Notamacropus eugenii: one gene and its partner. The protein of the gene in region 2 binds, or shares a complex with, the protein of the main gene of each other region. Links are inferred from orthologs where the notes say so. Each region holds a gene or a part of one and is shown on either strand. Other genes may lie near its edges.

Region 1 (3,899 bases), about 330 Mb from region 2:
TTTGAGGCAGCCATGATAGGAACTCTTCCTTTACCCTTTCCTATGTAACAGCCTTAGTACATTCCTTCTCATTCCCTATGGGATGGCCCTGACATCCAGCCCCACATAGCTATGGGTCAGGCCTTTGTCTGACTGTGGAGAAGACCTAGTACCTTCTAAAACCCACGTCTGTCTTTGGGGCAGCCTGGGCACTCCATTTACATTTAAGGAGGTCCAGGTGTATGTCGGGGGGGGGGCACCTCTTTAATTCCCTAAGGGACAGATCTGGTACCCACCTGTACCTTTCCATAGGGAAGATCTGTTCTACCCTGCTCACTCTCCTACGGGGCAGCCCTGGTACCCACCAGCACAACTCCAAAAGGAGGCTAACTCCACCATGGGGCAAGCAGGGACTCCTTGTTCACTTCCCCATTTGGGGTGGGGAGGCCATGAATCCCTTGCTCATTTCTTCATGGCTCTCATGGAGCAGCCCTGGGACCCCTGCTTACTTCCTCATCCTGCTCTTTCCCTTATGGGACAGCCCTGGGACCCCTGCTCACTCCCTTACAGGACAGCCTGGGACACCTGCTCACTCCCTTATGGACAGCCTGGGACCTCTGCTCATTCCCTTACAGGACAGCCTGGGACCCCTGCTTACTCCCCTACGGGACAGCCTGGGACTCCTGCTTACTCCCTTACGGGACAGCCTGGGACTCCTGCTCACTCCCTTATGGACAACCTGGGATCCCTGCTTACTCCCCTTCGGGACAGCCTGGGACTCCTGCTCACTCCCTTATGGACAGCCTGGGACCTCTGCTCATTCCCTTACAGGACAGCCTGGGACCCCTGCTTACTCCCCTACGGGACAGCCTGGGACACCTGCTCACTCCCTTATGGACAGCCTGGGACCTCTGCTCATTCCCTTACAGGACAGCCTGGGACCCCTGCTTACTCCCCTATGGGACAGCCTGGGACACCTGCTCACTCCCTTATGGACAGCCTGGGACCTCTGCTCATTCCCTTACAGGACAGCCTGGGACCCCTGCTTACTCCCCTACGGGACAGCCTGGGACTCCTGCTTACTCCCCTACGGGACAGCCTGGGACACCTGCTCACTCCCTTACAGGACAGCCTGGGACCCCTGCTCACTCCCCTCCGGGACAGCCTGGGACCCCTGCTCACTCTCCTACGGGACAGCCTGGGACCCCTGCTCACTCCCTTACAGAACAGCCTGGGACCCCCGCTCACTCCCCTACGGGACAGCCTGGGACCCCCCGCTCACTCCCTTACAGGACAGCCTGGGACCCCTGCTCACTCCCTTATGGACAGCCTGGGACCTCTGCTCATTCCCTTACAGGACAGCCTGGGACCCCTGCTTACTCCCCTACGGGACAGCCTGGGACTCCTGCTCACTCCCTTATGGACAACCTGGGATCCCTGCTTACTCCCCTTCGGGACAGCCTGGGACTCCTGCTCACTCCCTTATGGACAGCCTGGGACCTCTGCTCATTCCCTTACAGGACAGCCTGGGACCCCTGCTTACTCCCCTACGGGACAGCCTGGGACTCCTGCTTACTCCCTTACGGGACAGCCTGGGACTCCTGCTCACTCCCTTATGGACAACCTGGGATCCCTGCTTACTCCCCTTCGGGACAGCCTGGGACTCCTGCTCACTCCCTTACAGGACAGCCTGGGACCCCTGCTCACTTCCCTCCGGGACAGCCTGGGACCCCTGCTCACTCTCCTATGGGACAGCCTGGGACCCCTGCTCACTCCCTTACAGAACAGCCTGGGACCCCCGCTCACTCCCCTACGGGACAGCCTGGGACCCCCGCTCACTCCCTTACAGGACAGCCTGGGACCCCTGCTTACTCCCTTATGGACAGCCTGGGACCTCTGCTCATTCCCTTACAGGACAGCCTGGGACCCCCGCTCACTCCCCTACGGGACAGCCTGGGACCCCTGCTCACTCCCTTATGGACAACCTGGGATCCCTGCTCACTCCCCTACGGGACAGCCTGGGACTCCTGCTCACTCCCTTACGGGACAGCCTGGGACCCCCGCTCACTCCCCTACGGGACAGCCTGGGACCCCCGCTCACTCCCCTACGGGACAGCCTGGGACCCCCGCTCACTCCCTTACAGGACAGCCCGGGACTCCTGCTGGCTCCCCGTGGAGCTGGCCCTGCTCTTGCCCCCCACCCCTGCCCAGTGCATGCCCGCTCAGACCCGTCGGACCCTCGGACGCCGGCCCCGGCCCGGCCAGGCCCGGTCCCGCCAGAAGCCGCCCTCTCCCGGGCCAGGAGAACTTGCTGCTCACCTGGCCTCCGAAAGAGCCAACCGCGGCAGGCCCTGACGCCCCCTCTGCCCGCAGCCGCGGTCCGCAGGGTGGTCTAGCCCCCCGGCGGCTGCAGCCACTCTGGCCTGCGGTCCCTCCCTCAGCTCGCTACGCCCCCGGCCGCACTCGCCAGATCGGCGTCCGCCATTACGCGCTCCCCTCCCGGAGACATAGCCCCACCCCGGCACCAGATCTGATTGGTTTACAGCCCCGCCCGCTCGGAGCTTCCAGCTCTTTCATTGGTCTTCACGGAGCGCCTGTCAAACTGATACGCAAACGACGTACTCCGCAGGCACTGCCCCGGGAGCTCCACCCGAAAGACTTCCGCAAATGGAGTAAACAGGACGGAGGAGACCAAGTGAAGTTCAAGGCGGGGTACGAGCAAGTCAACTTCCTAAATGAAAGTACGGAAACGCTGCTTCTGAAGGGCAGATGCTCTTTGAAAACATTTTAGGCGGTGGTTTATTGGCAACGGTTCTAGGAAAACGTGCGCAGGAAGCGAAGGAATGAGCTGGGCCCCCGAACTTCCTTCTGTGTACCCTCCAGGTTTCAGTTGGTTTTGCCCAGTCCCTCCTCCCGGCTTCTGACTCGGGCTAGGTGGGAACTGGAAAGTTGAGTCACGGCCTCGTCCCGGGGTCTGGCTCGAGCACACCCAGGGCGGGGACGGGCTCTGCGGAGGAGGGGTCCCCACGTGGCGGAGAAGTGAGCTGTCTAAGGCACGCCCCTGGGCCCCCGCGCTTTTCAGAATTCCTTCCTCGGAGAACTTGTGACCCAGGTGGACCCCCTGCCCTTCGCCACCACGGCTGGGGACCCCCCGTGTCCGCTCCGCTCGATCCGATGAACTTGTGCTAAGCTTTCTCTTGTTCTGGGCTGGGGGGTGGAAAGGGCTCGTAGACAAAACTACCCGCCCTTCAAGACTTTAAAATCTAATAGATGGTGCTGTACCGGTGCTCGGGAAACTTCAGTGGTCAGGGAGTCTGCAAGCATGTATTAGACGCTGTCAGTGTGCGGGGCATGATGGTATAAACCCTGGAGACGCAAAGACAGACGGAAAGAAAGGAGAACACGCACACACTCGCGGGAAGGAATGGGGTGGGGAGGGAAGGGAGAAGAAGTTGAGATGGAGAAGTTCAGAGTAGCGCACCCCTGGTGAGAAATGAGGATCCCCCTCCCCCCGCAGTCAGCCTGGGCACCCTCCTTCAGTGGAGGTTCAGCGAGGTGCTTTTCACCCTCCAGAGTCCAGTCAGAGAAAGGGGTCCCCAAGGCTGAAGGCAAGCTCCAGGGCTGAAGGGATCTTCTGGAGCATCGTGGAGAAATCCAGGATATGATTCAAACTGCTTTGGCATTTAAAGCCCTTCATCCAAGCTGATTAATCATTACTTCACCCTCGCTAAGGCTACGTTACCTCCTTCTGAGATTACCTCCAATTTATCCTGTTTATATTTTATTTGCATGAAGTCAAAGCATTTATTAAGCACCTACTGTGTGCGGAGCTGGGGACACACAGAAAGGCATCAGATGGTGAACTTCTTGAGGTCAGGGGCAGTTTTCCCCATTTCTTTGTATCACCAGGGCTCAGCACA
Region 2 (3,899 bases):
GTGTATCTGACTACATAGTGCAGTCACCCTGGCACCTGATAAACTAAAGAAAGTAAAATGTAATTCCCCGGTGCTCTTTGAACTGTCCCATCAGTCAGATTCCGATGGTGGTTTTGTGTTTGTGTTTTGGTTTTTTACGGGAGTCTTGACAACTATGAAAATCTAATTCCCACCCAGATTATTTAAATAAACACATACAAACAGTCTAGTTTCTCATTGATGTGCATTCATCCACTAAGTCAGGGTTGTAAAACTGGTATTTCATCAACTCGTCACACTGGTCTTTGGATCCCTGGCACCAAATGTGGTGCTGTGCCCAGGAGGGGTATTAACATTTGTTGAAAGGAATTATCTCCTTGTCCACTCAGAGGTGGAGACCCTGAATGGCACCGTACATCCATTTTTAGAGAAGATGTTTTTTAGTGATCCGAAACTTGAGGAAAACTTATCAACCGGAGACTATGACCACTCTTTGGTTTTCCCAATACATCAGAGCTTCTTGGAGTATTTTTCCTAAAGTTTGCGAACCTCTCCAGGCTTTTCTGCAAAGGAAGCACCGCACGTTCTCCCCACGCTGTCTGCGGCAGGGATGCCTTCTTTTTCCCCAGGGCGGCTTCCTTCTAGGTCTTTTCGTCCCGGCTCCCAAATAAAAGGGCCCAGGCTCCATTTTGTGAAGGCAGGAAACTCCCTTCTCCAGCAGCCTAGCAAAGCCGGGGCGGGGGAACAATAGGCGCTCCATGCATCCTCCTTCTGGCCCAGACCGCGGGGGCGTGCGGGGAGCAGGGCTGTGCGGGGAGCGGGGCTGTGCGGGGAGCGGGGCCGTGTGGGGAGCGGGGTCGTGCGGGGAGGAGGGCCGTGCGGGGAGCAGGGCTGTGTGGGAGCGTGGGCGCTCGCGTGGGAAGGTCCGCCTGGGGTCTGCTCCCCGGCCGCAGCCGAATGGGCACGGGAGCGGGGAGGGGGGAGAGACGGGGATGAGACACTCCATAGGGAGGGCGGGGAGGAGAAGAAAGGAAGGGAGGCCGGGGGGCGCGGAGCCGCTTTCCCAGCGCCCCGGGCCCGGCTGCACGGAGCTGGGCGGCGCCAGCGCCGGACTCCCCGGGACTGGCCTGGAGAAGGCGGGGCTCGGCGTGTTTAGGGGAGGAAGGGGAAGGGAGAGGACGAGAAGAGCGGGAGGTGGAGCTGTTTGGGAGGAAGGGGAAGGGATGGGATAGAAGCGGCAGCACAGCCGGGGCCGCCCCCTCCACCACCCCCGCTACAGCCGCTCCACCAGGAGGAGGAGGAGGAGGAGGAGCAGCAGCCCTCGGGACTGAGTGTGTGTGTGTACTCGGGAGCCGAGGAGGAGGAGGAGGAGGAGGAGGAAGGGTGTTTCCTAGGGCTGGTTCCAGTCCGAGTGACTCAAAGCAGGAAATTCCCCAAGAGCGGCCCGCCGGAGCCGGGGAGCGCGGGGTCCCGGGAGCGACCTGCCCTGCCCTGCCCTGCTGGGGCGCAGCAGCTGGGCAGAGGCGCCTCCCCCACCGCCCGGTAAGAAACTTTTCTCTGCTTGTCTCCCTCTCCCCCCCGGGGCCCGCACCGTGCGCGGAGTCCCCTCCGCCGCTCCTCTCCCTCCCCCACCCTACTAGCTGGGGGCAGGAGGGCTTCCCTTCCCTCCTAGCCCCTTTCCGGAGGCTCCGGGGTGCCTACCCTGCGGCCAGTGTCCGCCCCCGAGCCGGTGTGCTGGGGCCGGGGCGGAGGGCCAGCGGGGCCGCGGACCGCGCGGTGCGGGGGTGTGGGACCCTGCCCCTGCGGACCGCGCGGTGCGGGGGTGTGGGACCCTGCCCCGGCCCCCGCCGCCTCCCTTCGTCCTGCTGAGCCGGCTCCGAGCCTCGGGGTCCCCCTTGGGGGAGAGGAGGGGGCGAGCGGAGCCCGGCCCTGGGGCTGATTTGAGGGAGGGGGTGGCCCACGCATCAAATCTCATCACGGAAAACCTCGTTCCTCAAGCTGTGTGAGTGTGTGTGTGTATGTATGTGTATGTATATATGTGTATGTATATGTACCCCATACTCTCCTGGACCCTGGAATGTCACTCCTTGAAATCAACTCCAAGAAAAAGATGGAAAAGGTGACCAGGAGTGGGAAATCCCGAGCAGCGTGTGTGTGTGTGTGTGTGTGTGTGTGTGTGTGTGTGTGTGTGTGTGTGTGTGTGTGTGTGTGTGTGTGTGTGTGTGTGTGTGTGTGTGTGTGTGTGTGTGTGTGTGTGTTTCAGAATCCTACACCTTCCTGGTTCCTGGTCCACTCCTTGTAGTCAACTCCAATAAAAAGATGCGAGTGGTGACTGAGAGTGGATGTAATTATTAACCCCCTGGCTTTCTCCTACCCGCTGAGCCCTAGTTGACTCTGGAGAAAGAGGCCTCGAATTCGATGCTTACAGATTATACCTTTTAAAGAGTCCCTAAGGGCAGGGCGAAATACCGTGGCACAGATTTGGGGTTATGGGGGTCGTGTATGGTTCAGATCAGTAGTGGCCAGGTTATTTTATCAGAACAGGATGTGAAGCAACTCAAAAGATTTTTGGTGAACTCTGTGTTTTTAAAATGCACACAACTCATTCTGCTTTCTGTCCTGTGCTTTCCTTTTCCTTTTCCAAACCATGAAATAGAAATAATCCAACGCTATATATAAAAGAGACAGTTATCAGGTCCATACTCACCTGGTATAGTGGTCCTTGTAAGGTTTGGAACGTCTCTTTTTTAATGTAGGAACCCCCCCCCCCCTTCACATGTTTTTGCTTACAAAGAGATCACTTTCAAAATAAGAGTATTTGCGATAGAAGTCAATTATTGAACTCCAGTAGTGTGTAGAGCTTTGTAGATAATAATGAGAATAGCTGACTTTTATGTAGTTCCTGAAGGCTTGCAAAATGTTTCATCTTATTTGAAACTAATTACTGATCTGGCAAGCGGTCAATATCCTTTTAGTAGACCCAGGCCTGAGAGAGGTTAAATAATGGAAAGTGTAGGTCACTTACCTAAGCCTGTTAATTTTGCATGAGGATGATAGATCAAGACTTTAAACAATTTTTTAAAAAATTCATTGCCTTTCCCTTGGGAGAGTAGAGAGATCATTCTAAAGTAAATGGATTTTGCAGGGCAGAGAGTGTAAAGTAAAATTCCCAGTCTTCCTGTTGATGTGCTCAGTGGCCAGTGTGATGGAAGAGACAGTCATTTTTTCTTTCCTGATTGTGAGTTTTTAAAATCTGACAAAGAAAGATCCATCGCTTGTATTTTAAGTATGAAATGTATGTAGCTGGAAATGTCACAAATTGTGTGAGTATAAGAAAAGGAATGAAGGACTTAATTGAATAGTTAAGTGTAAGCTTCATTTTTAAAGCCAAGAGGAGGATCCAATGCCAATCTTGGGGTTGATGTTTTTACAATCACAGACTGTGGTTACTTATTAAAGCCTGAATTGTATTGTTTGTTTTCTTGGGGCAGCTGAAGCTTTGGTATCTCAATATTTGATACCAATGGACAATTTCAATACTGTATACCTCAGTACGTCATTTATCATGATTTATGTTCATTTTGGCTTGACGGTGTAAAATGGAATTAATCACTGATTATGAGCTGACTACAGGATAGACTTAAAGCAGTGTTTCAACTAGAAAAAATTCCATTGCATGTTGATGAGTGCGTTGGAACATTTGACCAGTCTTGTCTAGAGTCTGACAACTAAAAAAGGCTGTCTTTCTTAAAACTATATATTATCATATATGTACATGTAAGATGTTAGATTTGCACCTGCTATTTTGTTTTTCCTGGAGCACTTTTACTTGACATTTTCTATTTGAAGAAAATAATGTTACATAAATTAACTTGAGGCCTGAAAAAAATTAAACCAAACTTTTAAATGGCATTATAGGC

What was found.
Region 1: CYFIP1 (region 2) and WASF2 share a complex: the UniProt entries of both Homo sapiens proteins name them as parts of the WAVE2 complex. The link is inferred for Notamacropus eugenii from reciprocal best matches to the Homo sapiens genes CYFIP1 and WASF2.

Annotation. Positions count from the first base shown.
Region 1 is NC_092876.1:68,627,138-68,631,036, forward strand, and holds the start of WASF2 (actin-binding protein WASF2), read right to left. Parts: upstream 2,386-3,899; 5' UTR 2,299-2,385; intron 1-2,298. UniProt on the Homo sapiens protein: Downstream effector molecule involved in the transmission of signals from tyrosine kinase receptors and small GTPases to the actin cytoskeleton. Promotes formation of actin filaments. Part of the WAVE complex that regulates lamellipodia formation.
Region 2 is NC_092876.1:400,100,687-400,104,585, forward strand, and holds the start of CYFIP1 (cytoplasmic FMR1-interacting protein 1), read left to right. Parts: upstream 1-1,414; 5' UTR 1,415-1,521; intron 1,522-3,899. UniProt on the Homo sapiens protein: Component of the CYFIP1-EIF4E-FMR1 complex which binds to the mRNA cap and mediates translational repression. In the CYFIP1-EIF4E-FMR1 complex this subunit is an adapter between EIF4E and FMR1.